Linked DNA regions of Mus musculus. The protein of the gene in region 7 interacts with the protein of the main gene of each other region in a pairwise test. Links are inferred from orthologs where the notes say so. Each region holds a gene or a part of one and is shown on either strand. Other genes may lie near its edges. The genes, in order: Adrb2, Oprm1, Adgrg7, Apod, Pgrmc2, Zbtb22 and Vapa.

Region 1 (4,748 bases), on a different chromosome or scaffold from region 7:
CCTCACCTCTACTGATAAACCCTCCCAAATGACTCCGTGCATGAGCCTAAAACCTCAACTTCTTCTGGTAACTACCTGGGCAGCTGGAAGGCAAGTTTAGAAGGCACCATGAGGAAGAAGAAAGAGGAGGGGCTGAGGGGCTGTCACAACTGAGTAAACTGGGAAAAACCCCTCTCCTAGGTGTCAAAAATAGAACCTTTGTAGTAATGATTTAGGTTTGCAAAGTCTACAGCAGGCTTTCTACTAAGCAGTACTTTACCCTTAGGGGTAAGAGGTCGCGGCTGAAGTTGTTCTTGGCAATTATTTGTAAACTTGAGGGGGGGTGCTACGCGGCTGAAGTTGTTCTTGGCAATTATTTGTAAACTTGAGGGGGGGTGCTACCAGAATTTACTGGGTACAGAGCTGCCGCCAAATATCATATAATGCACGGGAATGCCAGACATGGGGAAGCCTGGTTTACACAGAAGTGCAGAGAATTGGGGAACAGAAGACACGGGACAGCAGACGGGAGCGAGGAGAGGCTGAAGGGCGTGAAGCATTCACCAGCTATGTTTTTTAAAGCTTTGCTCTCTCTCTCTCTCTGACCGAGGCCTTTGATTTCCCTCAGAATTTCTAGATGCTTGAACAGCTATTACACAGAACATCTTCCTCATCCTGAACACACCAAGCCCTGATGCAGTACAAAGGGCACTACTGTAAGAGACGGCAGTGATGTAAATATACACAGTTATTAAGCAAGTAAGGCTGGAAGGTGGGTGTCAGGAGCATATGGGGACAAAAACATATGCCCATAACTCTGTTTCCGTGAGTCAGGGTTTCTGGAGTGACAGCACAGAAGAGCAACTGTAGGACATACTGGGTTATGCTGTGAACAGGCAGGACTGCTTTGGGACACGAGTGAAGTTAGGGAAGGCACAGGTTTGCATCTGGAGCTCCGAAGACACACACGGAAGGGCTAGGCACGGTGCATGCCATTCTGGTACTCTTACACATTAAGCCACTCATCGGTCACGACACATAGTTTACCTGTGGTTTCCAGTGGGAGAGACAAGGACACTCCAGAGTCAAGAGGTTTTGAAGAAACGGGTGCAATGAAGTCATGGTTAAACAATTTATTTACTGTAAACTTTAGACTTTTCTCAGCAAAAAAAAAAAAAAAACCCAAAAAAACAAAAACAAAAACAAAACCCCAAAAAACAACAACAAACCAAAAACGAACCAAACAAACAAAAAAACAAAAACAAAAACAAAAACAAAACAACTGATGTTGTCCCTCAAATCCCTGCCTGCAACACTCCATTTGAGTAAATAAGTGGAGTGAGAGAGAAAGGGCCCATTGTCACAGCAGAAAGGTCCAAGACACAGGATATTTCAAGTCCAAGGGTACAGGAAGAAAACTCTCTCCTTTAGATATGGATTTCCAGCAGCAATATATATCATTCTTAATACTTGACCAGTGAGGTAGATACATGAAAACATCATCCAGACAGACAGACAGACAGACTCAGTCCTCCAGAACCAACACTCTTCAGACAGAAACCTTTAAGTTCCATACAAAGAGGAACTGAACTATACAAGAAAACAATAAGCACTCAAATACAGTTTCTCTCTCTTGTTTGCAGCTTAAAAAATAAAATAAAATTTAAAAAAAGGCAGAAGGATGTGCCTCCCCTTCTGCAAATCTCTATACAATTTTATTCTAAAGTTATTACACTCAAGTTAAATAGTCTGGTTAGTGTCCTGTCAAGGAGGGGTCTTAGAGAGTAGAAAGCCTGTATTACAGTGGCGAGTCATTTGTACTACAGTTCCTTCCTTGGGAGTCAACGCTAAGGCTAGGCACAGTACCTTGACAGTTCACAAAGCCTTCCATGCCTGGGGGATCCTCACACAGCAGTTCCTGTTCTCTCTCCTGCCCCAGCTGACAAGTGTTTGGCTCCCCTGTGTAGTCCGTTCTGCCGTTGCTATTGCTAGAGTAGCCGTTCCCATAGGTTTTCGAAGAAGACCTGCGAAGGCACAGAAGCTCTTGAAAGGCAATCCTGAAATCTGGACTCCGACAGTAGATAAGAGGATTGAAGGCAGAGTTGACGTAGCCCAACCAGTTAAGGAGGATGTAAACTTCCTTAGGGATGAGGTTGTCCCTGATAACGTGCACGATATTGACAATGAAGAAGGGCAGCCAGCAGAGGGTGAATGTGCCCATGATGATGCCTAAAGTCTTGAGGGCTTTGTGCTCTTTCAAGCAGAACTTGGAGGACCTTCGGAGTCCGTGGCCGCTCCGCCCATCCTGCTCCACCTGGCTGAGGTTTTGGGCGTGGAATCTTCCTTCAGATTTGTCTATCTTCTGCAGCTGCCTTTTGGCCACCTGGAAGACCCGGGAATAGACAAAGACCATCACCACCAGGGGCACGTAGAAAGACACAATCGAGGACGCGATGGCGTAGGCCTGGTTCGTGAAGAAGTCACAGCAAGTCTCCTCGGTGTAACAATCGATAGCTTTCTTGTGGGTGGCACGGTACCAGTGCATCTGGATAGGCAAAAAGGAGGTAAGGCCAGATACAATCCATACCATCAGGATGACCACTCGGGCCTTATTCTTGGTCAGCAGGCTCTGGTACTTGAAGGGCGATGTGATAGCAACATAGCGATCCACTGCAATCACGCACAGGGTCTCGATGCTGGCTGTGACGCACAACACATCAATGGAAGTCCAGAACTCGCACCAGAAGTTGCCAAAATTCCACATTTTCATAAGGATGTGACTGGCCCCAAACGGCACCACCGCTAGGCCCATGACTAGATCAGCACACGCCAAGGAGATTATGAAGTAGTTGGTGACGGTTTGTAGTCGCTCGAACTTGGCAATGGCTGTGATGACCAGCACGTTGCCAAACACGATGGCCAGGACGATAACCGACATGAGGATGGCCATGCCCACAACCCACGCTTCGTCCCGTTCCTGAGTGACGTCGTGGTCTGGCGCTCGGCTTCCGTTGGGTGCCAGCAAGAAGTCGCTGTCGTTCCCGTGTGGCCCCATGGCTGGCAGGTTAGCAGGTGAGCGCACCGGCTTTCGGTGCCCAGGCGCTCTCAGCGGGTGCACCTCCGACGGGGCGCAGCCGGCCGGGGGCGGACTCCTGGAAGCTTCATTCAGCGGCCGTAGGTGGCTGTGCTGGGGTGCGTCCTGCACACTCAGCTCGTGGGTGCTCCGGGCTCGCGGTGCCTGCAGCCGCAGCCTGAATGCCTGAGAAGCAGCCTTGCAGTGCGCCCTGCCCGTTATGTGCACCAGACTTTAGGGGAATTGCCCAGTGACGTGCAACAACTTTGGGCCAATGGCACGGCCGGATGCCCGGAGGGGCGAGGCACCAAGGGCCAACCCTCCCAGCCTAGCCCGCCTCCTCCTGGGGTTAGCCCGGGCGGGGCCCAGCGGCTCCCCGGAGGCCAGGCCACCGCTCCCTTCCAGCTACCCTAGCTGGGGCACCAGAGAGAGAAATCTAGGGCTGCTGTGCAACCCGCCAACCAGGCGCTGTCTGGAGGTGCTACCTGTCCGTTCAGGTCACCTGTGCGGGCTGAGAGGTCTCTGGACGCCAGTAGCGCAGGGTGCGTTTTCTTTTAGGAACAGAAAGAGCAAGCTCACCCGGACACGCACACACAGGCACAAACGCACCCTGACGACCAGGACATGCTCAGACTTATGCCGAACCACAGCCACAGCCACGGAGACACACCCGCGCCCGCTCATTCTGGAGATGACAGCTGTCTCCTGGTCCAACAGAGAGGTGGCTGTAAACAAACCCAGGAACACCCAGAAGCAGGAGGAAAGAAACACACATAAGCGCTCCTGTGGAGACATGGAGTGCGGACCACTCAGACACCGGTGTCCACATCCAGGTACCACCCGCTTCTAGCACTCATAAGTGACACCCCATTCACAGACATCCAGTGTATCCCCTTTCAGTTATTTGGCAAGAGCACAGGAGATGACTCCAACAGCTACAGAGTTTCTCAGCACACTTTGTGAAAAAATATTTTTTTGGCATCCTCCCTCCTTGAGAACCGCACCAAGGCAGTAACTTCATCCTTCGCATTTCTTTAGACCTAGAAGTATACACATTTGGGTAGGGTTGGGAAGGTGTAATTCTTAATTCTTGGGAGTGTGGCATCATTTTCTTGTTATATGGCGGATATCTGGGGATGTGCTGAAAATAAAAATGCAAGTGCAACCATTTTCAGTTTTACAATTTAAAAAATTAAACTACATTATTTATGTTCTGTGCATGGGAGTCTTATCTCTACATTTGTCTGTGCACCACATTTGTGCCTGTTTTGGAGGTCAGGACAAAGCATCAGATTCCCTAGGACTGAATATACAGATAGTATCAGCTCACAAGCTGCCTTTGTGAGTGCTGGGAATTGAACCCTGGTTCTCTGGAAGACTAGCCAAAGCTCTTAAGCACTGAGCCGTCTTTCCAGTCTTCATAATTTTCTTTTCAAACAATTTCTTTAGTAACTCTGTTTTAACTATAAAAATATTAATTGTATTAATTGTATGTGTTGGCTGGGTAATTTGCTAATCTTTTAGGCTGTGTCAGTGAATGTGCCACCATTGGGCTATTTCTGCCTTTAACCTCGCTGCCCACCCCACAATTTCATATAATTCCCTATATTAAAAACATGTTTTGTGGAGTTCATTTTAAAACTACAGAAAAAAAAGGATAGTTGAGGATAGTTGTTCCTTCCCATTAAAAAAATTC
Region 2 (4,198 bases), on a different chromosome or scaffold from region 7:
TGTAAGCAACAACCTAGGCAAAGGAGGCAAAGGTGCAATTTTAAAACCTGATGATATAACTAAATGTCGCTGCTAATTTTTCTTGAAACTTCTTTCCTTCCAGGGTCCATAGATTGCACCCTCACGTTCTCTCATCCCACATGGTACTGGGAGAACCTGCTCAAAATCTGTGTCTTCATCTTCGCCTTCATCATGCCGGTCCTCATCATCACTGTGTGTTATGGACTGATGATCTTACGACTCAAGAGTGTCCGCATGCTGTCGGGCTCCAAAGAAAAGGACAGGAACCTGCGCAGGATCACCCGGATGGTGCTGGTGGTCGTGGCTGTATTTATTGTCTGCTGGACCCCCATCCACATCTATGTCATCATCAAAGCACTGATCACGATTCCAGAAACCACTTTCCAGACTGTTTCCTGGCACTTCTGCATTGCCTTGGGTTACACAAACAGCTGCCTGAACCCAGTTCTTTATGCGTTCCTGGATGAAAACTTCAAACGATGTTTTAGAGAGTTCTGCATCCCAACTTCCTCCACAATCGAACAGCAAAACTCTGCTCGAATCCGTCAAAACACTAGGGAACACCCCTCCACGGCTAATACAGTGGATCGAACTAACCACCAGGTATGTGCTTTCTAGAATTATGTATAACATATAAAAACACAGCACCTGATACCAGTCTAAGATTTAGATCCTTAAGGAGGTCGGTTACTGGAGAATCCAGGCCAAGCCTAAAAATAGAGAGGGAGTAGGGGACCAAATTCTGATCATAGTGTTAGGAAGATGTGCCATAGAAATATGCTTGATGTATGTGTGTAAGTTCATTTAGATGTTTGGTAAGTAACTGTTGTGTCCGGCCAGCAGACCACAACCTGGGTTCTAGCCTGGAAAGGCATTTTGGAAACCTGGAAGAGAAGAGGGGCTAGGTGGCGAGAGAAAGGAATGTAGCCAAGACAGTTACTCTGATCAAGGCTCAAATTTTATTGTTGCGACACTAGTTATGAAGGAAGGGGGAGGGGACCCGATTCCCGCCGAATAATCTCTGGTCCAGTAGAAAGGTGCACGTGTGTGGCTCCGCAGGTTCTAGCAGTGGGCGTGGCAGAACGAATGAGCAGGAAGCTCCACCCCTGAGCAAGCAGGTTTCAGGCTGGGGGAGGGGAGACTATAAGTAACAATATATTATGCTGCTGAAAGTTACTATCCTCAGAGCCTTGTCTCCTTTGCAAAATAAATGGCTTTAGTACATTTTAGAAATAATCTCACTTTGGAGTCTTGATTCACACAGCAACTTTCTATAATCCAAAATATCTTGCTAATATCCCTATTATTTAAAAGCAAACCCCACCCCAAATCTGTAAAGAACATTGTCCAATGTGGTCATAGGTACAAGATATTCCCAAGCGAGAAAAAAGTGTATATATGTATATGTTAATATATATGTGTTATATATATATATGTTATTATGAGTGACCATATATATACATGTATGTATGTATACACACACACATATATGCTGTACTTGTACATGTTTTATATGTGTGTATATATATAAATATGTATATATATATACATATATATATATTTGATAGGCCATCTCTAATATTTATTAAGGCTTTGTTTTGTAGATTCTGGAGTCTGAACACTAGAGCAAATGCCAGCATATTACCTAACTACTATATTAAAATTAATTTTAAACACTCTCCATACTATTTGGAAATGATTTAGACTAATTAGAAGTTTAGACATGTATTACTATGCCCAGGAGAGTCCCAAGAAGATCCAAGATTCAATCACAGTTGTGTAACCACACAAGAAATGAACAAAGAGGGGGAGATCTCTTACCCGTAAAACTGCCTAATTGGTCACATTGCAATAATTCGACACCTTTCCTAAATCTCAGTGCATATATGATTTAATTATTCATATTGGTTTAAATAAATATTCCAAAATCCTTCCCACACCTAAAAATCACTGTGAATATAATTTTGTAGTAACACAGAGTCGAAACTCAACCCTCCTTTGAGTAAATAAATGATACTTGGGCTAAACTCTGCGTTGTCAAGTGGCAAGGCTAGGAGGAGTCACATAAAAAGGATTCACTACCAAGTCCTGCAGAGGAGCAGCCAGAGGGAGGCCTTGGCCACCATGGTGCTAGCTGTCTCTCCACCACAGCCCTCTCTCACTGTTCTGTTTATCCTCAACTGTGACTAGCCAGCATAGCCTACATTCAATCTGTCTAACTGACCTCAGATTTATGTAATACAACCTAGATGAATCTGCCTCAGAAGACGTGAATGCTCATACCCAAATGGGAAGTGTGCCTAATGCAATACATGTGACCAGCACCCTTAGAGAACATGGTGGTAATGGTGGCAGATTCATTCCCAACTCAAAGGCAATTATTAACAAATTTATCTCCCTGCTTCCAGCTCAGAAATCAAAGCCAGGCAAAAATGGGTTTCTCTGCTGCTTCCTCCCCATGCCCCACTCGTTGTTATCCACATCGAGACACATAAGCCTTTCCTTTTTCTAGGCAGCTCTCTTTTTTTTTTTTTTTTTTAAGGGGCTTTCAAACTCTTGCCCATCACTTTGAAAGAGTAAGGATTTAAATTTTTTTTTCCTTTTTTCTCCAACCCATTTTAGATAATGAAATTTGAAGCTATCTACCCTAAACTGAGCTTCAAATCTTGGGCATTGAAATATTTTACTTTCATTAGAGAAAAGAAAAGGAACACAAAAGCTGGGGCTCTTCCTCCCCTCCCTACGTGTCATGCTGGATCTCCCTCCCAGGCTCACAGGGGCGTGGCTGCTTGGTTGCTTCCTCTAAGACACATGGGGCCTTCTTATCCTTCCTGACCCACCTGACCTTCCTCTAATGGAAGCAGAGCCCCAAGCTCTCTATTCCAGCACATCCCTGTTTTAAACATAGCTGCCCTTCAGATTCTCTAACGCTGCCTTCGACTCCCTTCCACACCCAGTGTTTGCATGTCAGTGTGGATCTTGCACAGCCAGAGAGTAGAAGGGAAGATAATTGGAGAAGCTCTGTCCTAAGTAACTAAAAGGTTTGCTTTAAAAATACATCCAATTAGCACTTATCATTATCACTGCCTCTGCGGAGCAGCGTCAGCATCAGATAACAGAAAAGCACATTAGCCTGGAACTGGTGGCCTCCCAAAGGCCCAGCTGGGAGAGCTAGACCAAGAAGAGAAGCAGAAAGAAGCAGAAAAGATGCCCTGACATAATTGAAAATGAACAGAAATCAAAGATCCTATTCACCCATCTCCACTGATGTGTCTTCCTTTGGGGTTAAGGTGGTCAGATGAGAATGGCTGGCTGGAGCGACAGTAAAGCCTGTGGTGGTCATTCCTGGCATCTATTCTAATCAGATCTGAAGGAAGAGTCAGGCTACATGGCTCTGCCAATGGGAATCATTGGGATTACCTCAGAGTGAGAATCTAACTAGCAGGTGGTGTGTTACTGTAGGTTTCATGTTTATTCGTTCCTTTGTTTAGAATATGAGCCATCCTTTTAGGAAACAAGGCTAACTGGATTAGAGTGATTGAAAGTTTTTAGTTAGAAGTATTAGAAGTTTGTCCCGGTTATCAATGTTTATGTTCTGTCTCTTTATGTTTTCATCTATATCTATATCTATATCTATATCTATATCTATATCTATATCTATATCTATATCTATATCTATATCTATATCTATATCTATATCTATATCTATATCTATATCTATATCTATATCTATATCTATATCTATATCATCTATATCTATATCTATGACTAAATCTATACCTATACACACATATATATATGTATATATATATGTATATACATATATATATATATATATACACACACATTTGTCATATTCCATATGTCACACATCAAGCACATTAGTCAACTTCCTACCTTGCAGATCAGAGATGCAATGTCCAACCTCTCCAGGGTGTCTGTATTCTGACAGATGGACACTGAGGCCATGTCCACACAGCACAGAGTGAAGTGACAATGTGACGGTTGGCAAGGTAAATAGATAAGCCATACATACCAGAAAGTTCTATACCCAGAATGCATCCAGAGTCCCATAGTCCAGTAAAAGCATCTCATTAAGGATTTTTCCTACAAGCCTAGAGGGTAGAAACAACCATTATGCAGGCTACAGCTGTAGGATATGTCAGTAAAAGTTGGG
Region 3 (4,900 bases), on a different chromosome or scaffold from region 7:
TCATCTTGAAGTCATCTCTAACCTCATCCTTGTTTCTGCACTGGGAAAGGCATTGTGTTATGAAATAAATGAGGCAAAGATATGAAATGTATAAAGCACTGTGCTGGTTTTCTGCTTAATTCATCTTCCTAGTTTATGGAACATTGCTATTTTTAATATTGAAAAACATAATATGTACAATAAGTTATACTAATTGAAAAATACTTACCACAGAAAAGGTATAATGGTTTTTAAATTCCTTGTACCTAAATCCTTTGGACTTCCACGAATAATTTTTTATGTACCCTACTCTTGCCGTTTTGGGTAGATAATAAAGACACATAAGAATAAATATCACATATTCACAACAGACAATGAACATAGATTTATTTGTTTTTTTTCTTCTGTAGCAGTCTTTAAACTCTTTCATTTTGTGACATATTAATGTGTTTTTCTGAAGCTCTAGGATAAGGTAAAATTAGAACTTTATGTTAATATCCCCCCTGAGTTGTACTTTAGGAAGTATTATTGAGAATTGGGGAATAACACATCATTTTGAGGGGTAAACAGATGATCAGTTTAGATGTAAAATTTATTTTATAAATCTATGTCTAATACTCCCAGAAGAGTACTCTGTAGCACCTTGTTTTGTTATCATTAACAAATCTGATCTGTCTTATCACGAGTTACACCCTGGTTTTTCACCCTGGGGCAGCGGGAGTGCTTGAGAGCTTGTTCCTGCCTGTGAGGGTCCTGACACAATTGAAGGCACTTTATCATCCTGGGTCTTAGATGAGCAGAGGAACCTTCCACTGATTCATCCACCCGAACCTGCACTTCAACCACATGGGTGCTCATTAGCACCTTCATTCGAGACTAGGGAGGGGCAGGGAAGAGTAAGGCGGGATCCCCAGGGTCACAGCTGCAACTTCAGAGAAACAGCAGTTTGTGATTAGATTGCTGTGAAAAAGTACTACAAACTTTGTGGCTTAAAGAACAGGAATGTATATGGTGTGGTGACCTCCAACTATAAAAGTTTTTCATTGCTACTTCATAACTGTAGTTTTACTACTGTTATGAATTGTACTGTAAAAAGCTGATATGCAGGATATCTGATATGCAATCCCTGTGAAAGGGTCAGTTGACACCCCACCCACCCCACCCCCCACAAAGGGGTCAGGACCCACAAGTTGAGAATTACTGTTTTAAACCAAGATGTCATTGTAGTTGGTTCCTAGGACTCTGGAGGAAGACTATAATCTAAGCTTTTTGCTGTAGTTCTTTGCCATTTGGTTGTATTGTCCCTTTATTTCCTTAGACATTGCTCCTCTGTGCACATTGGTGCCCAGATTATCTCTTATAAAGACACCAACTGGACTGGAGAAACGGCTCAGTGGTTAAGAGCACTGACTGCTCTTCCAGAGGTCCTGAGTTCAAACTTATCTTTAATCAAGGCTGCATTGTGGGTGCTTTGGGTTAAGACTCTAACACATGAACGTGGGCACATAATGTAATTCATAATAGATGAATTATAACTCTGTTTTAGTGCTTTGTATAATTCTTCCCAAGTCAATATACTCAATCACCAATTGTGACTGTTAGAATTTAGGCTCCTTAAGGAAATGCAAGAGTGAAATCTTATGTGGCTATTGCAGTTTGTCCTTTCCTTGACAACAATGTTTCCCTATCCAAGAGGGTGTTTGACTATCCTGAAGCACTTGCTGAAGTCCCTTAAGACCAAAGTACAGGAGACTGATCTGTAGATAACCAGAGGGATCCACTGCCTTCCTGGCTTCCTCTTTGGGTTCTGATAGCTTGCCTCCTTCCTTGACCCTCAAGGCTAATCCCGCCCCTCCTTTATTGCCCTGAGTTAGTTTCCTTTTCTGAGAACCCTTGTCTCTTGATCTCCCTCGGTGAAGAATGAGCATACTGCACGCAGAAACCCACCTTCTCTTTGGTGATTCCAACTTCATTACTCTGAATTAACTTCAAAACTCTTAAACCATGAGATCACCTGTCAGACAGACCACTGAAGGGAAGAATTCTTTTCATGTTTTATAACTATCTCTGTTCGTGCAGTGTTTTGGCTTCACCATGCGTTCCTGTCGTTCCTGCAATGTCCGGGTACTGGTGGCTATTGTGTGTGGGCTACTGACAGGCATTGTTCTGGGACTCGGCATCTGGAGGATGGTCATAAGGATCAACAGAGGTAATGTCACCCTGCTATAATCTACTGAGACAGAGAGTGGGTGTTGGGGGATGGCATTGATTCTCTGACTCTGCTACCTGATATTTCAGTGCCAGGGAAGTGCCTTGTCCAGGAGATGCCTGCCTTCCACAACACAACTTAAGAATTGTAAGACCGCAGTCCGTTGATGACCAGTGGACAGCTTTATACATAGAACGTGTGTGTGTGTGTATGTGTGTGTGTGTGTGTGTGTGTGTGTGTGTGTGTGTGTTTTGTGAATAAGCAGGGTGAAGAGTGAGTTTTGAATTGGCTTCTTTGCACTATTTTAATTTTGGAGTTGATAGAATGAAGAACAATAGAAAGTATAACAATGTGTATTTGGGTTTACTGAGCTAAATCCTATAAAGGTAAATAGTTGTGAACTCGGACTCCCCCCAAAAACCATGTACAGAATAGAAATTCATCTCAAGAAGGAAGCTTAGAGACCGTAGCACCAGAGTGGTGAAATGAACTTAGGTTTACGTTCAAGTTTCCCATTTTGCAGGTGTAGAAAATTAGTTAAAGATGAAAAAATTAAAATGAATTTAAAGGTTATTTTCCTGCTGGCTCCACACGTGTTTGTAAGTTTCTTGCTGTGTTCCAGACCTCATGGAGGAAGTACGGACAGAAGCAGGGTCACATGTAAAGTGATGGTGTTAAAGTAAAGCCCCTGAGACCGCAAAAATACATGTTTAATGATTCTAACACTGCACCCCTTTGCCTCTGGAGATTCCTTATAAAGCACTGGTTTTCAATCTGTGTGTTGTGACCCCTTTGGGTGGCAAATGACCCTTTCATGGGCACTTAAGAATGTCTGACAACATTTCAATTCACAACAGTAGCGACATTCAGTTATGAAGTAGCAATGGAATAATTTATGGCTTGGGGTCACCACAACAGGAGAAACTGGATTAAAGGGTTGCAGTGTTGAGAAGGTTGAGAACCACTGCTAGAAAGGGATTCAAGATGATTTGTAGAACATGTGGAACTGAGTGACTAGAGGTGACTAGTACCATTAAGGAGAAGTCTGCCCTCAAGGAAGGCAGAGAACTGCCCTGCAATGGTGCCAGGTTGCAGAATCCCATGCTGAGAACAAATGTTTGATATGGGCTGGTACAGGAGAGGTAGCATAGAATGGAGCCATTCCTACATTACCCAAAAAGAATAGAATTCAGAGAATACTGTGTTGTCAACATTTAGAGAACTTGAGTAAGAAATTAAACAGGACAAAAGAATAACATTAAAAACATTAACGTTTGTAAAAACACTTTCAGGTTTAAGGAAAAACTGTAAAGAGTCTCTCTCACTGTTACGCGCATTAAACTTGTAAGATCTCCTTTAAAGGATGTACGTTTGAGAAATGTCTTCCTTCTTGTTGCATTCATAATGATTTCTGTTTTCAAAGGGAAACATGTGACTTAGAAATGACACCATTAAATCCAACCATTACAAGGACAAAGTACAAATCCAACATGAGGAACAATATTGAAGAGAGGACAGAAAGTGCAAGTTAGTCAAAGGCGTAGGGGGACTGCTTAAGTGTGGGCACACCTCCAAGCTGCTGGAGGAGAACTGCTTAAGTGTGGGCACACCTCCAAGCTGCTGGAGGCCTTTGAAGGAAGTAAAGTGTATTAAAAGTTCTGCTTCTCAGAGTGTAACATATCAGCTCCTCAGAAAGTCTAGCTTTGCACCTGGTGTTAGTTTATCAGAGCTCTTTACATAAGGGATATTCCTCAGCTTTAGGGTAAAGCCAACAGAAAATTAGACGGTCGTCACTATCACTAACAAATAGAAAGGATGAAGACTGACACTTTTTGCTGTTTGCTGTGTCTGTGCCTTGTAAATTCTATTTGGGGTGTGCTTTAGCTGTTTATCTTTATTTAGTTCTGTTTGTATCTGCTTTATTCCGTTCTATTCCACTTCCTTCCTTTTAGTTAACTTCTTCTGGGTATTTCACCTCTTTCCTGCACATCTCCCTTCGTTCTACTAATGTCATTATGGAATATCTTCTCGTTGTTTCCTTACTTACTTATAAGTTATCTTTAAATTTAAAAAAATTTTAGATACACAGTTCATGCATATCTCAGAGACATTGATCTATCTGTGAAAGCCTTTTTTGCTTGTTTTTAAGATCTTATTTTAGAGTTTGCATTGTCCTGGAACTCACAATTTGTATCCCAGATGACATCATACTCATTGTGCTGGGTTTTCAGGCATGACCCCACACTCCTGGCTAACTATAAATAAGTTATTTAGGAAAAAGCACATAAGCACATATACATTAAGTTATGTCCAAGTTAATTTACTATATTCAAAATTCATTTCAACAAACAATGTATTTTTCACAAAAAGTGATAACTTATTTGTGAAAAACAGAAGAAAAAACCTTCCATTTCACAGTTTCAGTAACATTCAGAAGGCTGAGGCTCGGGATCGATGGAGTTCAAGGCCACACTGAGCAGAATAAGACTGTTTAAAGGAAAAAAAAACACAGAAGAAATGGAAATTTTCCAACTTCTGTTTTGAAAAAATTTTATCTGGCCACAGAGTGAATATTAATTAGTTTTTATACTTAATTTTTCTATACCTTACAATTCCTTTAAAAAAATTTTTATTAGGTATTTTCCTCATTTACATTTCCAGTGCTATCCAAAAGTCCCCCACTCCCCAACACACCTACTCCCACTTTTTGGC
Region 4 (3,500 bases), on a different chromosome or scaffold from region 7:
CAAAAATCCCATTGTTAGGTCTCAAACCTGGGACAAAAGGCTGAGGTGCCTACTTAACATATCAAAGGGAACTTGGCCTCCAGGTTCTCCCAGCGTCCCTCAGTCTCTATCAGTTCTAGAGTCCTGGCAGGCATACCCTGCCCCTTACCCAAACTTCCCTAGCCCGGGGAGAAGGGCCCTTTCCCCAGCTGCCCTTCCTTATATAATACAGTCATTTTGGTTAACCCACCTCTGGTTCCCTTCTATCTCTTCTCCCTTCCCTCCTTACAGGGCTCAGGCTCATATCCACAATGGACTCTCCTACATGTCTCTATGTCTCTGCCTCTGGCTATGGTCTTCCTTTTATCTACAATAAACTTTCTCCTCCACCATATGCAGGAGCAAGTCTCTCTCTCTCTCTCTCTCTCTCTCTCTCTCTCTCTCTCTCTCTTTCTCTCTCTTTCTCTCTCTTCTCATTTATCCATGAACACAGGACAGGCAAAGCCTCAGAGAAGAGGACAGAGAAGGGATGTGCCTAGACATCAGAATACTACTCTTCCAGAGGTGGCAAAGGAGCTGCCTGCCCATTGGTCCTCAAGCAGGGCAACCATGAGACCAAAGTATGTGTGAGGCAGTCGGGTAGGTTAGTGTTGTATGATTGGCGGTGAGGGAGGCGCTAAAATCCAGTTCCTTAGCAGGTCTCCCCATTTCCCCTCTCCTGGGTTCAAATCTAGGCTTCATGCTGTATCAGTTATATGGCCCTTGAACAAGCTGCTTAACCTCTTTGTCCATACCAACGTTTTCTCGCCCATGAGGTTTATAATAGTATCTACTTTTGCTACATCATGGGGATTAGGTAAATACATTTTCAGGGAGGCCCAAGTACAGGGGTAGCGAGTGCCTTGCATATAGGAATTACTTAGATGCGGTCGTTGGTGCTGCAAGCTTTGTTGGTAGAGGCTAAGCAAGTAGGACCTCATCCTGAGTCTAAGTCTGTTCTCCAGAGTGTACAGATATGGATCGACTGCCAATGTACCTAGTGACAGAAGTGCGAACTTCCAAAAGAGATCCTGTTGACATAAGCTAGAGAGTACATGTATCTGTTCGGGTACCTGATGCTTGCTTAGCCAAAAAAAAAAAAAAAGAGAGAAGGTGACTGGGCCTGGCAATGTGTTTCATTTGGTAGAGACTTGCTTAGTATGCAAAAAAGCTCTGGGTTCAACCATCAGTACTACACAACAAGGCAGGGTGGTGCACATTTGTCATCCGGGCACTGAGGAGGATCAGAAATTCCAGGACCGCCAGGAAGTGGTGGCGCACACCTTTAATCCCAGCACTTGGGAGGCAAAGGCAGGGGGATTTCTGAGTTCGAGGCCAGCCTGGTCTATAGAGTGAGTTCCAGGACCACCAGGGCTACAGAGAAACCCTGTCTCAAAAAAACAAAAACAAACAAACAAACAAAAGAAATCCCAGGACCTTGGCTATACAGTATGTTGGAAGCCAGCCTGGGCTACACACGATCCTGTCTCAAAATAAGAAAAGAAGGGGGGCTGGTGAGATGGCTCAGCGGGTAAGAGCACCCGACTGCTCTTCTGAAGGTCCTGAGTTCAAGTCCCAGCAACCACATGGTGGCTCACAACCATCCTTAAGGAGATCTGACTGGTGTGTCTGAAGACAGCTGCAGTGTACTTACATATAATAAATAAATAAATATTTAAAAAAAAAAAAAAAGAAAAAAGAAAAGAAGGGGGCGGGGTTCCTAACAGGGAAGCTGGCTGGAGGTGAACAAATTGCCACGGGACAGGTTGAGCCCCCAGTTCACAGAAGTATTTGGCAAAACTTGATGCTCTCTGTGAGTAGATGGACAGAAAGGGTTTCTCTCTCAGTTTAGAGGCCAGGCTACAAGAGTCTCCATCTTAGAAAGAGAGCAGGGGCGCTGACTGGTATTCTCGACTCGCTATTGCCTCTCTCAGTGTCTGGTATTCAGTAGGTGCTCAGCAGTGGTTAAAGGGAACACATGCATCCGGATCATCCTGCCTAGTTTGAGTAGCTCACACCCTCTCCGTGCCCCTGCCTGCTGGGAGCACAAAACAAGGCCATCCGGGCAGGCATGCGCACTCACCTCAGCTCCTTGTTTAGCACTTCGATGTTTCCGTTCTCCATCAGCGAGTAGTTGGCTTGAATGCAGTTTCCTTTCTCAAAGCTCGCTGGGATCTTCTCAATTTCGTACCATCTTCCAAGATACTGCACAGACAACAACAAGCAGAGGCAAAACCCAAGGGCTCTCTAGGGACCTTGCTGACTCGTCTCCATTGTTGCCTTAGAAGCAGAGCCCTTTCCAGGGGAAACCAGGCCAAATGGACTGCAGCATCATTCCCAGACAACTAGGCAAGATACTGTTTCAAATGAGAATAAATGATGCGGATGTGCGGGCAATGATTGTATGTCACGTTCTATTCCTAAGGGGCTCGTTATTTGGATATGTTCTCAGAGTTCTCTTTAGTCAGAACTCGTGTGAAATTCCAGCCTCTGTGAAAGGAAAGGTTTGTGTGGTCGATGGAGAATACCTTCTCCCTCCAACAGCTGATAACTCTACGGGGCATTTTGACTTTTGTGTAACTCAGACATGCTGACTGTGGGGCACTTCTGTTTGGAGTTAGTTACTGTACCAATCCATAACCTCCGCAGAGGGCAGTTTGGAAATATTGAGCAAAACTAAAAATACACGTTCTCTTAGGCCAGCAATTTGATTTCTGGGAATGTTCTCCTGTTGTAAAGAAATGGTGTGTAAGTATAAGGTTATTTGTTGCAGGTCTGTCTGTAACAATAAAAGGCAGGAAACAATCTAGAGAGGAGTTGGGGAAATACATGATAGTGTATCTCTCTGATGACATCTTATACACCTCCTGTTAAAAAGTTATATGCAATTATCTCAAAGGTTATCTAAAGAATAAAGAACATTAATAGTGTCAGGGGTTGAATTAGGGGTGGAGAGGCTGTCTCTGTCTTGAACTCTGTTGCCTGCCTTTGGCTCCCTTTCCCTAGCTGAGATGCCTTGTCTGGCCTCAGTGATGAGACTTGATGTGCCAGGGTAGGTTGGTGGTGGGTACTCTCCCTTCTCCTTAGAGAGGGGGAGGGAGGAAAAGGAGAAAGAAGGCAGGACGGGACAGAGAGGAAGGAGAGGGGCTGTGATTGGGATGTAAAGTAAATAAATTAAAAAAAAATTTTTTTTAAAGAATAAAGAGCAGCCAGGCAGTGGTGGTACACGCCTTTAATCCCAGCACTTGGGAGGCAGAGGCAGGCGGATCTCTGAGTTTGAGGCCAGCTTGGTCTACAGAGTGAGTTCCAGGACAGCCAGGGCTACACAGAGAAACCCTGTCTTGGGGGAAAAAAAAAAGAATAAAGAGCAAAGAGTCAGGTCTGAAGTGAGATATATGCTTAAGCTGCCTTTGATGTAACAAGGAAAAGCTTATTGTATGGGCTTTCTGTTGCTACTGTGATGAGCCATAAGCTTTAACCAG
Region 5 (4,680 bases), on a different chromosome or scaffold from region 7:
GTGAAGAACTCATCTTAAACTATATTAATTTTAGTTAGCCATTTGTGGCTTCGGCTACCATATTGGGTAACTAAGACGTCGTAAAAGCCATGAAAACGAAAACTTGTTTGAAGTTCAAACTCTGTATGGGAAGAAATCAGAAAGGGGTAAAAAGACAAGACCAGTAACAGGATTCTCTGTAAGTTCAGCCCTGAAGCTCTCTACCACAAAGTATATAAACTTTGTGGTCAAACATATCTGGATTTCCCAGATTTATTTATGTGATCCAAGCCAGCTTACTTAAACCTCAGACTCATGTGTAAGGCAAATACTTTGCAGAAATGACAAATGCATGATCCAACCCATTCATTAGATCATTAGATGCTTAGGAACTGCAGTTTCCTACATGATCACACTATCTTTCCAAGCTGGCCAAGTACCTGACTATTAGAGTATAAAATACTATACTAACAACAAAGTCAATGCGTTCTGGCAAGCAGTCGGCAATGAACTACATTTAAAATATTGCCATTTTAATTTTAAGAACTGGAACTTTAAAGATACACAGCTGTAAGAGAATGTGTCCAGTATTATGGAGAAAAAAAAAAAAAACCCTCACAGAACAAACCTTAATCCTAAAACCTATCATTGCAGAATGGAATACACAGTGGTTGGAGAAAACAGTAAGCCTGCTAGCTCTTGGCTGAGTTTTTCAAATTACTAAGATTCTCAGGTAAGGAGAGCTGTAGGCTGAATTGTAACACCACAAAATTACTGCATTTATTTGAGGATAAAATGAAAGTTACAGGCAAATTTAAAATTTACATTTATATCCTAGCAAAACATATGGCATCAAGTCCCCTGGAAAGTACCTCAATACTTCCTATCCCTGAAAAACAAAGTAAGATCACGAGATGTTCTGGCTCCATTTAAGTTTGTCCGAATAATAAAACCTTCCAGATAGTCCTATTAGATTGTTTACTGATACCAGTAATAAAAGAACAAGGAGGTGGTTCTCTGTTCTTCTTGTTTTCAGACGGGTCTCACTATGCAGCCCCAAAAGGCAGAGACCTTACAGAGGCCTGCTTGCCTCACTCCAAGGCCTCCAGGATGGTTCTTCACTATTATCAGTGCTCAAGCCCAGGGACCCACTCTACAGCACACCTCTTAGTTTTCAACCTCTGCTGCGGTTGCCATGGAGACTGCCAAACTGACTCTTTCCGGATGTATAAGGACTGATAATGGGTCTTTTTACAAATACTCTAGACAATCTTTAACCACTGAACACACTTCAATCCAATGAGGGAAGTGTGTAACTTGGTACAAAATCTGTGCAAATTCTTCACTTTTAAAAGTTTATTTGACTTGGTCCATGTAAACAAGGTACTTGGGTCCTATTCTCTTGTTCCACATGCTCTTAAATTAAAAAAATAAAAAAGTACTAACCATGGGAGCTGATGTAAGTAAGGAGACATGATTTTTGTGTTTATATATCCAGAAGGAAATACACACACACACACACACACACACACACACACACACACACAAAGAGATTAACAGATCCAACATCAAATGCTTATTTGTGTTTCTTAGCTCTAATCCAATCAACAAACCAAAACACTCCTAAAATAGCATCCAACTGAGCATAGAAATTAGAAGCGTCTTCAGTGTCAATAAATCAATCAGGGGCAATAAGGAAATTAAAAGGAAACCTAGCTTAAAAGTTGGATGCATACCTTCCAATAAGGGGTCACTTTGGTCTCTAGCTTCATTCTTACAACTCACGCTCTCTCTTCTCCTCCCCCTCCCCTTCTGTCTTTAAAGTTTAATATTAAGCACTGCATAACCAGGCCGCACAATGTTGTTCAATTTTATGGGCTACCAACAGATACCCGGGGTCTGAAGTTTATTTGCACAATCTGCAATATAGATTACCACTACACTGCAAAAGGGCCTCTAACGGCAACTACCTTCCACGTAATTTTCTGAAAGTAAAGTTGTAAAACCTTCAGCACATGCAGGGCAGGGGGCGAGAAGTTCGACGCTTCTAGGTTCGTGCCCCCCCTCACCCCCCCAAGGCGTCTCATTCTGCTAAGGGAAAATACAATAATTTATTTTCAACGGGTATTTGAATACTTATTTTACTATTAGCAGAGAAAGAAGGAGAGGAGGGAAGGAGGGAGAGACTGAGAGAGTCGGAGACAAGAGACACGCCTGCCTCCTGGGCAGATGAGCTCCACCCCCTACACTCAGGGCCAATATCTTTGCCAGTCTTACTTATTAAGGTTTACGTTCTGGTCCGTCCTCATTTTACATACAGTTGTTAATCTTGGAAAGCATCTTGGAGCCCAAACCGACTTTTTAGAAAAAGAATGAAAACGAGTCCGGGGTGGTTGTGAAACCGAGCTCCAGGGCTTGGGACTTGAAACTACGTGTCCCTAGCCCTGACTCTCGGCAGACAAGTCCGGAGAAGGGAAAAAGTAGGCAAGTGTCAAACAGACAACCCAGAATAAGAAGAAAGCTGTCTTAACACTGGGCCAAAAACTTTGGATCGCCACTTTAGCCCTCTTGCCCCGACAAAGCCCAGAAATCAAAACGCTCCGAGGAAAGGTTGAACGCCAACGTGACTAGAGACAACTCTTAACAATTTTGAGAATTTCAGCCCCAGGAAAAGCTGCGAGGAGATACGGATTGGGAAAGGCAAGGAACGCCGAGCGCAGGTCTGTGGGGCGCCACTGAGCCCCCCACGACGCCCGCAGCTGGGGGCGTGCGCGGGGCTGCGGTCCAGGAGCGGGGCCGCGGCGGGGATAGGGTGTCCCGGATCCCCACCCCGACACCCCTCACTCCTCACCGGGGCCGTAGAACTTGCTGCCTTTGGTCACGTCGAAGACTTTCCCATTGACCGCGAGCAGGATGCGCGGCGTGCGCGCCCCGTCGTACTGGCGCAGCTGCTCCAGGCTGAAGTCCCGCTTCTTCATGCGCGGCAGCGTGGCGGCCGGGCTCTCCTCGCCCGCCCCGGGTCCCGAGCACAGACCACGCCGCCCCCAGCGCACCCACAGCCGGTAGGCCCCCAGCAGCACCAGCGCCACCAGCGCCACGTTCAGCAGCATCTCCCCGCCCGTCGCCAGCAGCGCCGCCACCCAACTGCTCCTCGCCGCCGTCGCTCCGGCGCCACCCGGGCTCCCGTCGCCGCCACTCTCCCCGCCGCTCCCCAGGGTGCTTAGCTTTACGTCCCCATCACCCGCCGCCATCACTGCCCGCCAGCGCCTTCCTCCTCCCGCCCCCTGCCCTCCCCAAGCCCGCGGCCCTGCCCACCAGGCGGCGCTCAGCCAATCACGTGAGGGGCTGGGGCGTGGCAGCGCCGGCTGCTTATTGGCTGTTGGCTGGGTAACGTTGTCTGGCTTCGCTCTCGCAGCTCGGGCTCTGGCTGGCAGCGCGCGCGGGCAACGCCCCGCCCACCTCGCCCCACACTTCCCTGCTCTCACAGCCCCAACGCTTTCAGCCTGGGGAGTGTAAGGGAAGGGCGGGGCTGAAGAAAAATAGAGTGTGCGTGGGGCGGGGGGGGGGTGGGCCGAGCCGGCTGTGCGCGTGCGTACTCGCGCGTATGGGCGGAGCGCCGTCAGGGCGCGTGCGCGGGCCCTGGGACGCCACGCGCTGGGCTCTTTTTAGCAACCCCTCCCTGCTGCGCGCGCGTGCGCCCAGAAGCGGCTTCTCTCTGAGACGGCTGGTTCGCGTCTGTGACGACGCACGGCGGAGGCCGCAATAGAGCGTGAGCTGCGGGGCCGCGTGTGAAGCTGGGCTTCGGGCACTAGCCCTAGCAGCGCCGGACACTCGGGTCCCGGCCCACGCTGCTTTTGGGCAGTGCTCCTAACAGGAGTCGGACGCAAGCTCTTCTGCGCTTTGCTCCCCGGCGGTGGGCGTGCGCGGATAAAGCAGCCTGTGGCTCTAGCTCCATAGCCTTGCTCGGGGCCTGCGAGAGTGCTTTCCAGTGTGAATTCCACCCATCTCGCGCCCTCAGCTAGTTTGACAGGCTTCTGTCACTCTGCTTGTGAGGAAGGAAGATGCATCCAGGGAATGGCCAGTTCCTTATAACTTTGAACAACCGGGGGTGGGGGACAGGTATAGACGAATGGTGGCAGCCTAGGGGTGAGCTACCCGGCATAAAGGAGCTGACTCAGAAAGGAGCTGACTCAGGCTTTGGCGTGAACAGTATAGAAAAGTAGGGATGGGCTTTTCTGGCTGCTATTAGTTTTTAGGTAACTGTCTTTAGTGTCAATGGACAGGAGAGCCCTACCCACTAACGGTACTGGTGATCATAACTTCCCTAGAGAGGTTTTAACACTCGAAAGGATGGGAAACCAGCCATTGTACATAAGACTCATCGTGGCTTTTTTTTGGGGGGGGGGGGGGGGAAGGTGCTGAAATTTTTTTCTGTAATGGATTATATATTTAGGTGCTGTGGGCCATAAGGTCTCTCTGTCCCAACTGTTACATAAATAATAGAGAATGAGCATGATAGTGTTTCTATTAAAAATGTACTTAGAGACACCGAAATTTGAATTTGTCATGAAATACCGTCTTTTTGTTTTTGAGACGGTTCAGTGTGTTCCAGATTGGCTTTGCACTTGATATGTAGATGAAGATGGCCATGAACTTGCATACCAGCAAGCACATTCCCTTGCCCATCATTATGACTTTTAA
Region 6 (4,678 bases), about 32 Mb from region 7:
TGTGTCCACCCACTTTCATGACAACCCAATTTGGGATCCCCATGGCAAGGGTGGGGTAGTACAGAAATAAGGGGCGTATCCTTCAAGAGGAGAAAGGACAATCGTTAAGACTCAAAGGCCTTGTCCCACAACACAAACACAGACTTCAGGCACAAACTAGCACAACCTGACTGTTGGCTCTGTGACTCTAGGATGCTCAAAAGGTCCCTTTTCCATTCCCCCACCTTGTTGGCACTACTCCGTGAAGGTGGGGCTCTGGTGTGCTCAGGGGAAAAGCAAAAACACAGCTTAGTTCCAGAGATCTCGAGGAAGGGGCTGAGGAATGGAACGGGCTGGCGACGGTGCAACCCACGCCCTTCTCTAGAATATATACAAGTCCACCGAGGTAAGGGAAGACTGTTTGGTGGGGGAAACCCCGGGAGCCATTGCTCTTAGACTAAGCTCCCCAATTGCCTGCTCTTCAGTGTGCTGCACCTCCACCCCCACTGAAATCCATCTCCACTTTGTGCACGCTGGGTGGGGACCAGACACGCCTATGGGACGGGGGCGTGGCCGAATTTGCCTCATCGCCACTGCCCCCACCCACTGTGGAAGACTCCCTCTTGGGTTGCAATGCTGGCCCAGAAGGTGTCCCGGGTCCAGGTCCAGGACCCGGTCCAGATCCGACCCCACCCACACCCATCCGGTGCCGACGCTCACAGTGTCCCCGGTGACGCATGAAACTGTCCCGCCACATGAACTTCTTGGCGCAGACACTGCATTCGTACGGCTTGAGGCCCGTGTGTGTCTTCATGTGCTCGGTCAGGTGGTGTTTCATCTTGAACTTTTTGTTGCACACGGGGCAGTCAAAGGGTCGCAGGTTGAGATGCATATTCACGTGCCGGTCCCGCATGCTCTTATGTGAGAAAGCCTTCCCACAGTGGCACAGAAAGATCTTATTCCCGTCGCTGTTGCCTGTCCCTCCAGGAGCCCCACCAGAGCCACTTGGTATGCCCAGCCCCACCGCAGAGGTGCCCCCGAGGGTCACTGCCCCGTGCTCAGCTGTGTTCCCTGGTGGCTGGCCTGGAGCCTGTGAAGAGGAGGATGGGAAAACCAAGATCTGGTTGCCCGGCACATCCAATGGAAGGAGGGGTCGTGGAGGGTGGGTGAGGGCATAGGAGGAAGGGGTGGGTCCTCCGGGGTCATCAAGCCCTGCCCCAGCGCCCCCACCCTCATAGGGGCCAAAGTCATTGGAGGATTCACAGAAGTTGACCTGCTCTTCCCCCTTGTCTGCAGGCTCGGTCAAGGTCCGAACATCACTGATACTGAGGGTAGCCTCGGGCTCTCCCCCTGCAGGAACCCCAGAGCCGCCTCCCATTTCTTCATCCTCATCATCCTCACAAGTCAACACCAGATCTTCCTCCTCTTCCTCATCTTCTAGATCGGGGTCTTGGTGGACCAGGGAGGCTGGTGCAGGGCAATTTCTAGCTTGCTTCACATACACCCAGTGTTTCTGTGGCACTGCACTGGCAGGCATGCAGTTAGACCTCCGGAGCCCAGCCCCGGGGGCCACGGCCCCTCTCCCATCCCCACCGTCATCGCATAGCTCATCGGCCTCCAGCAGCAACTTCCCGGAGGTGGTACCCGCACTGCCAACCACAGGGGCTGGGAACACCGGGCCACCATCCCGACGGTTCCCACTACCTGCTGCTGAGGCCACAAATGCATCCTGGGAGGTAGAGGAGAAATCAGTCGACTCCCGGGGGCTGAAGTAGTTGCTACTGCTGGGAGACTGATTCTCACTGGCCCTGCTGGAGGTATGGGAACGGACAGAGCCTACGGTGGCAGGGGCGACAGTGCCCCCATTCCCTGATGGGACACTGGCACAAGGGACAGAGACAGAGGGGGCTGCAGCAGTAGTGACAGTGGTTGTAGTGGCTGCGGATCGACCCTCCCGAAGGAGTTCAGTGCACTTATCCACAATGTGCCACATCTGGAGGACCGACCCCACTGTGAGGAAGTTGACAATGTCCGCAGCAGCCATGCTGAGGCGGCCCGTGTAAGCTGAGGCCAGGACAGTCTCAAAAGCGCCTGGGTCCATGACGCTTGGCAGGGAAATGGAAGTCATGCCTTTCAGTAGGACCTGGTCGTGGAAGTAAGGAGAGGAGGCAGCCAAGACGGCCCTGTGAGCGCGGAACTCCCGTCCCTGCACGCGGATGGACACATCACAGAGCTGACCCTGGAGCCGCTGCTGGTTGAGGGATTCCAGGAGGGCACTGGTCACCTCAGGGAAGGACACGTGTACCACTGCAGCTGCCGGCAGAGGCAGTGGCGGTGGAGCCAGTGACAGAGGCAGTGGGAGTGTGGCCCCACTGGGTGACAGAGCAGACGGCTCCATGCTGTGGAAGGAGATACCCCCCCAGCCACAGGAACAAAGGAAAGAAGAGGGCGGCCGGGGGGGTCTCTAGGGAAAAAAAAAAAAAAAGAATAACAGCATTTTGAAAGCATCACTGATTTTAAGCCATCACAGTATTTAAAAAAAAAAAACAGGTACCCCTGTCAACCCCATGGTACAGACGGGGCAACTGAGGCTCACTATTAAGTAAAACATCCAATCAAACACCACCAAACCGCAGCGCTAGCAAAGAAAGTATTCCAAGTTTAGTACTCTCGCTCCTGGGTCAGGAAATAGGGGGCTCTCAGGGAAGGGGCGTCTATCCTAGTCTACGGCTTCACTCTCAAAAGAACGCCCCCTCCTTGGTGTTGCGTACCGATTTTCTTGGGGTGAAGGGGTGTTCTCCACAGTTCTCAAGCTCCTCCCCCTAGAGCCCCCAGTTGATCCCGACCCCGCCCCTTCAGGACCCTCCAGGGCTCCGCCCCCTGGATCCCCGACCCCGCCTCGTGTTTGCCCCCGCCCCCGAACCCCGCCCCCCAGTCCTCCCCAATCGCGCCCTCGGACTGTTCCCCAGCCTGAGGGGGGCCCCCAGCCCCGCGCGCCCCCGCTTACCTGGCCGCGCGCCCCCGGGCCCCCCCCCTCACTCCGCGACCAGAGCCGCAGCCCCAGCCCCTCCCGCCGCCATCTTGTGCCGACTCCCTCCGCCTTCCGCCTCCACTCCGCCTCCCGGACCTGCGACCTTAAAGGCGCAGGCCAGCACCCCTCCTGTGCCGCTGGGCAAAAGTCGACCGACAGCGACACTTTTCCTTTAAAGAACCGGCGCTTCATTCCGCCTTAAAGGTACCAGGTCCCGTCTGCGGCTGAGGACTCAGGAATTGGTTTGGCCGAAACCTTCGTTCCCCTTTAATCCGACAAGCCTACCTTGTCTCATTGACCAGTGCTGGCTTCCGCTTCCCAGGCTCCACCCCGAGCTCTGGACGTTAGCTTGCTCGCGGGATCTAACAGCCCTTTTCCCAGCATATGAGAACCCCCCAAGCCCCGCCCCCCTCCTCCAGGCCTGGATTGGCCAAATCACCTTGAGTCAGCCCCTGATTGGCCTTTTCACTCAGACCGCTCAAAACGAGAGAGGAAAGCTGCTTAAGAAGGCTTCCGAAGCACTTATCTTTAAAAGTGCCTAGGGGAAGAAGGCTCAAGGAAGGGTTAAGGATGAGGACGCCCTAAAAAGAGAGCCAGGATAGAAAAGGCAGATCCAGGTGACAGCTGTCACAAGAGAAAAGGCAAAGTAAAGGAAAGAATACAATAAAAAGAAATTCATTGTTTATTAATGTGTCTGTGTAAAACTTAAAACATTTTGATTTTTTTTTTTTGTCAAAAGAAACACCATCAAAACGGGAGGAGCTCTGTCCATCTTTTACTCCATCATCTTCCAACAGCCATACAAAAAACCTTCTGGATGCAGGGAGCACGGGGAGCATGGGGCCTGCTAATCAGAGTCTGAAAGCACGATGATCTCCTCCGGGTCGCACTGTGTGGCCACACTGGTCTGCAGACAAGTCAGAGGAGAAAGAAGGGTGAGCCAGGCATGGCGGCTCACGCCTTTAGTCCGAACACTCAAGAGGCAGAGGCGGGCTGATATCCGAGTTTGGGGCCAGCCTGATCTACTACATACAGAGTTCTGGGACAGTCAGGGCTACATAGAAAGACCTTGTCTCAGAAACAAAACAAAGCAGGATGGAAGGCTGGAAGATGGCTCAGCCACTAAGCACGCAGCTGCTTTGCAGAAGACCCGAGTGTTGTATCCAGTCTCACATGGCGGCTCTCTGCCTTCTCCGTGACTCCAGATCTATAGGATCAGACGCCCTCTTCTGGCCTCCATGAGCACCAGACACAAATGTAGCACATAGGTATGCATGCCAACAAAACACCTATTTACATAAAATAAGTCTTTTTTGTTTTGTTTTACATGGTCTCACTATGTAACCTTGACTGTCACTGGGTAGACTAGACTGTGGCCTTGAAGTTAGAGAGACCTGTATGCCTCTGCCTCCTGGTTGATGGGGTTAAACCTAAACACACACACACACACACACACACACACACACACACACACAGCCAGTCTTTGAGACTTTGTGTGTTCTTTTTCCTCCCCTTTATCCGCCCCCATCACTAGATAGAAAAGAAAGGATAGACAGGAGAGACAGGATCTCTGATTCTAATGTCTCTCTTCCTGTTTGTTCTTTGAGCAAGACTACTAACAAACCACAACCAACCCCTGTACTACCACCAACCATGCTTCCTGGAAGG
Region 7 (3,701 bases):
ATGACACAAAATTCACCTCCATGTAATGAACTATATTCTCAGCTGAAAACAGTACTTTCTGATTCTAAGTTTATCTCAGTACATGTGATATACACCAAGGCCTAAGACTACAGGGAAGCATCAGTACATTTGTAACAGGTGTTTGTTTTGTAATTTTCACACAACTAACCTTAGTTTGTTTTTCAAAAAGTAAATACCCAAGGTTTGCAAAGTAATACTAATTTTCTAAAACAGAAAAAAACCAATTCTTTTCAGCTGTTAAATACATTAAAAAGTAGAACTATTTAGTACACTGAGTATTTAGAATACAGGAGAATTAAGCCTTCCTTGAAAAGACAGTTTTTAAAAACAAACAAACAAACAAAAACAAGCCTGGAGACCCTGAAGACAATACAGGCAGCTGGCACACACAAAACTCATGAGGATCACAGCACCTTTACATTTCATAAACTCAATTAAGATGTTCCAAAATACCTACGTTGGCTTGAAATCTTGTCATTTCTTAAAACAGTCTCAAGACTTTAAATTACAAATAATCAAGGACTGGAAAGAGTTTCATACAAGGTAACAGTACACATTATACAGCCCACTGGGTGGGTGGCAGCGGCGCACGCCTTTAATCCTGGTGCTCAGAAGGCAGAGGCAGGCGGATTTCTGAGTTCAGGGCCAGCCTGGTCTACAGAGTGAGTTCCAGGACTGCCAAGGCTACAAAGAGAAAACCTGTCTCGAAAAACCAAACCAAAGCAAACAAACAAATCAATTAAGTCCAATAAAGTTCACTGCAGAGTGAACATGCTGGCTCATCCCACTCTGACCCTACGCCCAACCCAGCACAAATGACATGACAGACACAAACAAGCTATCGAGCAAGAATCTGTTAACAGTTTTATTTTTTTTATGTTAAATACCATGGGACAGGATTGTAAGGATGAAAAACTCAGTCAACAAACTGCCTCACAAGGGATAAGAAAAATTCTGCCATGATATTAGCAAAGGTAAAGGAGAAAATTTACACAGTAAGAGGCACCATTTCCCCCACAGAAAACCTCTTGGCATTTCCTGAATGAGTGGGATTAGCAATCTAAATAAATCATATTTCAAGAGGTAACAGCAACAGATAAAATTTAAAGGAATTATTAAAATAACATTTACAAGACTGAACAATTCTTGAACTCTTATTAAAACCACAAAGAAAGAACAATTCTTTATTTATGAATTTCATAAAGGACTGAATGTGCAACTGACATCTGCTAGTGATGATCTGATAATATACAATTTGTCCAGTAGCCGAACAGTTTGTTTTTATTGTGTTTTCTAACCGTAAGAGATCATTAAAGGCAAAGCCTATATGACGCTGTACACACAAAAAAAATTGGTCACCGCGGGCCATGGTCACCGCGGGCCATACTACCAATGAAATGGTAGGTAAACAAATCTTTTTCTGGTCGAGAGAAGAAAAAAAAAAAAAAAAGAAACAGCACTCTGCATGCTTCACTCTACAAGATGAATTTCCCTAGAAAGAATCCAATGAAAATGGCTGCAATTACAACCAGAAGAGAAGGAAGAGGACTGGTGACATTATCTCTGAAGGACACGGCTGAGGTGGATCCAGGTTTATCCGAATGTGCTACCTTTCTGAGCCTTAGGCCTTCATCCTAGGGAAAAGACACAAAACAAAGATTTTTAAACAGCACACACAGGTGAGTAGCAGAGCTAAAAGTTCATAAAGGAATTCAGTACATGTGTATGGCTTTGAAGAGGAGCAAGAATAAATTCCCATCTACCTTGGAAACCTGTGGAATTAGGAAAAATTCTAAAACTGTACTAAAGCGATAAATAAAGCCGAATAATTCTATAAATCTGCTAAAACAATTAAAATTAGTACATTTATGTGATGTAAATTACACCTCAATAACAATGACTTTTAAAACTGAAAATGAGAAATGTATTCCTATAAAACATGTAAGCTTACTTCCAATGAGCCCTACAGCATTTTGGATTGGCTACAGCCATCAGCAAGAAACTATCAATAGCACACTTATACTCCAGCCAACAGCAAGAAACTATCAATAGCACACCTATACTCCAGCCATCAGCAAGAAACTATCAATAGCACACCTATACTCCATGTTTACTGACTCAGTAAAACCTGAAAACCCACATGGGAGGCACACAAGGATTTATTTTTAGATAGATAATATATTGCAAGATTTAGAGAAAAGCAGAGTAGTTTAGAGTCTTTAATATGCGCAAAACAAACCCAAGGGACATATATAAAGGGTCACCATGGAGCATAGACTGTACGTAATTTAGACTACGTACAGGAACCCGTCTCTGAGGCTCCTGCTGGCAATCGCTTCTTTTTGTTTAAGTACCTTATCTGCTCCATGTAAAAGAATGAACTGCTCCCTACTTATACTGAGTTTACATTTCTGATAGTCCTGTGGTTGAGTTTAGATGTGACTTTGCCCTGGCTTCTTCTCCTAGTAAAGCAATAGTTTCTCAAAGCAGGTGGTTATTTGTGACAGTATGTGTCACAAGGTCCTGGAGAAATTATAGATACCTCTTAACTATATGGCTGGCTGTTATCAGATGCTGTTTATAAAACCTAACTAGAGAATCTGTACTACCTCAAAATAAACTATTTTATCCTCACACCATTCCTCAACCACTTACACAGCATGGCCAGCCTCTCTAGTGTTTAATGTACTGTTTTTGGCATTAGGAATGTGCAGTGAATCTTCGTCTTCCCCGGGCTAGGGACATGTGCTGGGATCCTCTCAGAAGGTGCCCAGCACTCTGCTGCTAATTAGCAGTGCTAATGTGATAGCTAGGATAGGACAGTCAAAGGTCTATGTATTGGGTGCATTTTCAACTTGGGATATCTTCACTTTCCAATGGGAAATAATCCTATCAAGTGTCAAAAACAAATCTTTTCATAAAAGATTTATTTTATGTATTTAAGTACACTGTTGCTGTCTTCAGACACACCAGAAGAGAGCATAGGATTCCATTATAGATGCTCTTGAACCACCATGTGGTTGCTGGGAATTGAACTCCGGACATCTAGAAGAGCAGTAAGTGCTCTTAACCACTGAGCCATCTCTCCAGTTCCTCAAAAAAAAAAAAAAAAAAAAAAAAAAAAAAAAAATAAAAACCCTTAACACTAACTAAAATATACCTGACCATTTTATTTCCATTACTAGGCTTTCAGAAACCTCGTTTCTTTAATCCTACACTAATTAGCTCTAAGTTATAAGATCAAACGAGATAAATAAAAAATAACCGGCAACAAGATTAAATATAAACATAGAGATTGCTAAAAGATACTAACATATTCTTTATACCTTCATTCCAATTACCTCATTTTCAACCCAAAAAACTTACTCTCAGGTGTCGGTTTTCTTCTGAGAGCTTCATCATTTCTCCCTGGAGTCGCTTGCACTCTTCCATCAGTTTCCTTGTTTCCGTATCATTGAGTGAAACACTGTGTGGTTTTGGCAGGGGTCCGTCTTGTTTGGATGCATTCAGTGGAACAGCTTTGCTAGGTTCCATATCATTCTGTGTTTCAAAGATATTGGGAATCTTTAACAAAAAATTTATGGGTTTTAAACTAATACAAACCTAAGTTCTACATATTTCTCTTCTAAAAATGTCATGAAAATATGACAAGTTTCAACTAATTGTAAGATTTATTAAGT

What was found.
Region 1: the proteins of Vapa (region 7) and Adrb2 interact in a protein complementation assay, tested with the Homo sapiens proteins (2 studies listed by BioGRID and IntAct, with this or other methods). The link is inferred for Mus musculus from reciprocal best matches to the Homo sapiens genes VAPA and ADRB2.
Region 2: the proteins of Vapa (region 7) and Oprm1 interact in binary tests that used the Homo sapiens proteins (3 or more experiments, as listed by UniProt). The link is inferred for Mus musculus from reciprocal best matches to the Homo sapiens genes VAPA and OPRM1.
Region 3: the proteins of Vapa (region 7) and Adgrg7 interact in binary tests that used the Homo sapiens proteins (3 or more experiments, as listed by UniProt). The two-hybrid records come from large-scale screens. The link is inferred for Mus musculus from reciprocal best matches to the Homo sapiens genes VAPA and ADGRG7.
Region 4: the proteins of Vapa (region 7) and Apod interact in binary tests that used the Homo sapiens proteins (3 or more experiments, as listed by UniProt). The two-hybrid records come from large-scale screens. The link is inferred for Mus musculus from reciprocal best matches to the Homo sapiens genes VAPA and APOD.
Region 5: the proteins of Vapa (region 7) and Pgrmc2 interact in binary tests that used the Homo sapiens proteins (3 or more experiments, as listed by UniProt). The link is inferred for Mus musculus from reciprocal best matches to the Homo sapiens genes VAPA and PGRMC2.
Region 6: the proteins of Vapa (region 7) and Zbtb22 interact in binary tests that used the Homo sapiens proteins (3 or more experiments, as listed by UniProt). The two-hybrid records come from large-scale screens. The link is inferred for Mus musculus from reciprocal best matches to the Homo sapiens genes VAPA and ZBTB22.

Annotation. Positions count from the first base shown.
Region 1 is NC_000084.6:62,176,719-62,181,466, forward strand, and holds Adrb2 (beta-2 adrenergic receptor), read right to left. Parts: upstream 3,264-4,748; 5' UTR 3,035-3,263; coding exon 1,778-3,034; 3' UTR 995-1,777; downstream 1-994. Other genes in the region: Gm9949 (uncharacterized protein LOC225609), read left to right, coding at 3,327-3,885. UniProt on the Homo sapiens protein: Beta-adrenergic receptors mediate the catecholamine-induced activation of adenylate cyclase through the action of G proteins. The beta-2-adrenergic receptor binds epinephrine with an approximately 30-fold greater affinity than it does norepinephrine.
Region 2 is NC_000076.6:6,829,874-6,834,071, forward strand, and holds part of Oprm1 (mu-type opioid receptor), read left to right. Parts: intron 1-103; coding exon 104-624; coding exon of another isoform or gene 625-639; exon of another isoform or gene 640-766; intron 767-2,643; coding exon of another isoform or gene 2,644-2,856; exon of another isoform or gene 2,857-3,595; intron 3,596-4,198. UniProt on the Homo sapiens protein: Receptor for endogenous opioids such as beta-endorphin and endomorphin. Receptor for natural and synthetic opioids including morphine, heroin, DAMGO, fentanyl, etorphine, buprenorphin and methadone.
Region 3 is NC_000082.6:56,792,835-56,797,734, reverse strand, and holds the start of Adgrg7 (adhesion G-protein coupled receptor G7 precursor), read left to right. Parts: upstream 1-1,876; 5' UTR 1,877-2,073; coding exon 2,074-2,188; intron 2,189-4,900. UniProt on the Homo sapiens protein: Orphan receptor.
Region 4 is NC_000082.6:31,301,309-31,304,808, forward strand, and holds part of Apod (apolipoprotein D precursor), read right to left. Parts: intron 2,224-3,500; coding exon 2,102-2,223; intron 1-2,101. UniProt on the Homo sapiens protein: APOD occurs in the macromolecular complex with lecithin-cholesterol acyltransferase. It is probably involved in the transport and binding of bilin. Appears to be able to transport a variety of ligands in a number of different contexts.
Region 5 is NC_000069.6:41,079,765-41,084,444, forward strand, and holds the start of Pgrmc2 (membrane-associated progesterone receptor component 2), read right to left. Parts: upstream 3,283-4,680; 5' UTR 3,231-3,282; coding exon 2,831-3,230; intron 1-2,830. UniProt on the Homo sapiens protein: Required for the maintenance of uterine histoarchitecture and normal female reproductive lifespan. May serve as a universal non-classical progesterone receptor in the uterus.
Region 6 is NC_000083.6:33,914,582-33,919,259, reverse strand, and holds the start of Zbtb22 (zinc finger and BTB domain-containing protein 22), read right to left. Parts: upstream 3,085-4,678; 5' UTR 2,987-3,084; intron 2,444-2,986; 5' UTR 2,378-2,443; coding exon 461-2,377; 3' UTR 1-460. Other genes in the region: Daxx (death domain-associated protein 6), read right to left, coding at 3,858-3,917. UniProt on the Homo sapiens protein: May be involved in transcriptional regulation.
Region 7 is NC_000083.6:65,579,193-65,582,893, forward strand, and holds the end of Vapa (vesicle-associated membrane protein-associated protein A), read right to left. Parts: intron 3,562-3,701; coding exon 3,388-3,561; intron 1,656-3,387; coding exon 1,497-1,655; 3' UTR 861-1,496; downstream 1-860. UniProt on the Homo sapiens protein: Endoplasmic reticulum (ER)-anchored protein that mediates the formation of contact sites between the ER and endosomes via interaction with FFAT motif-containing proteins such as STARD3 or WDR44.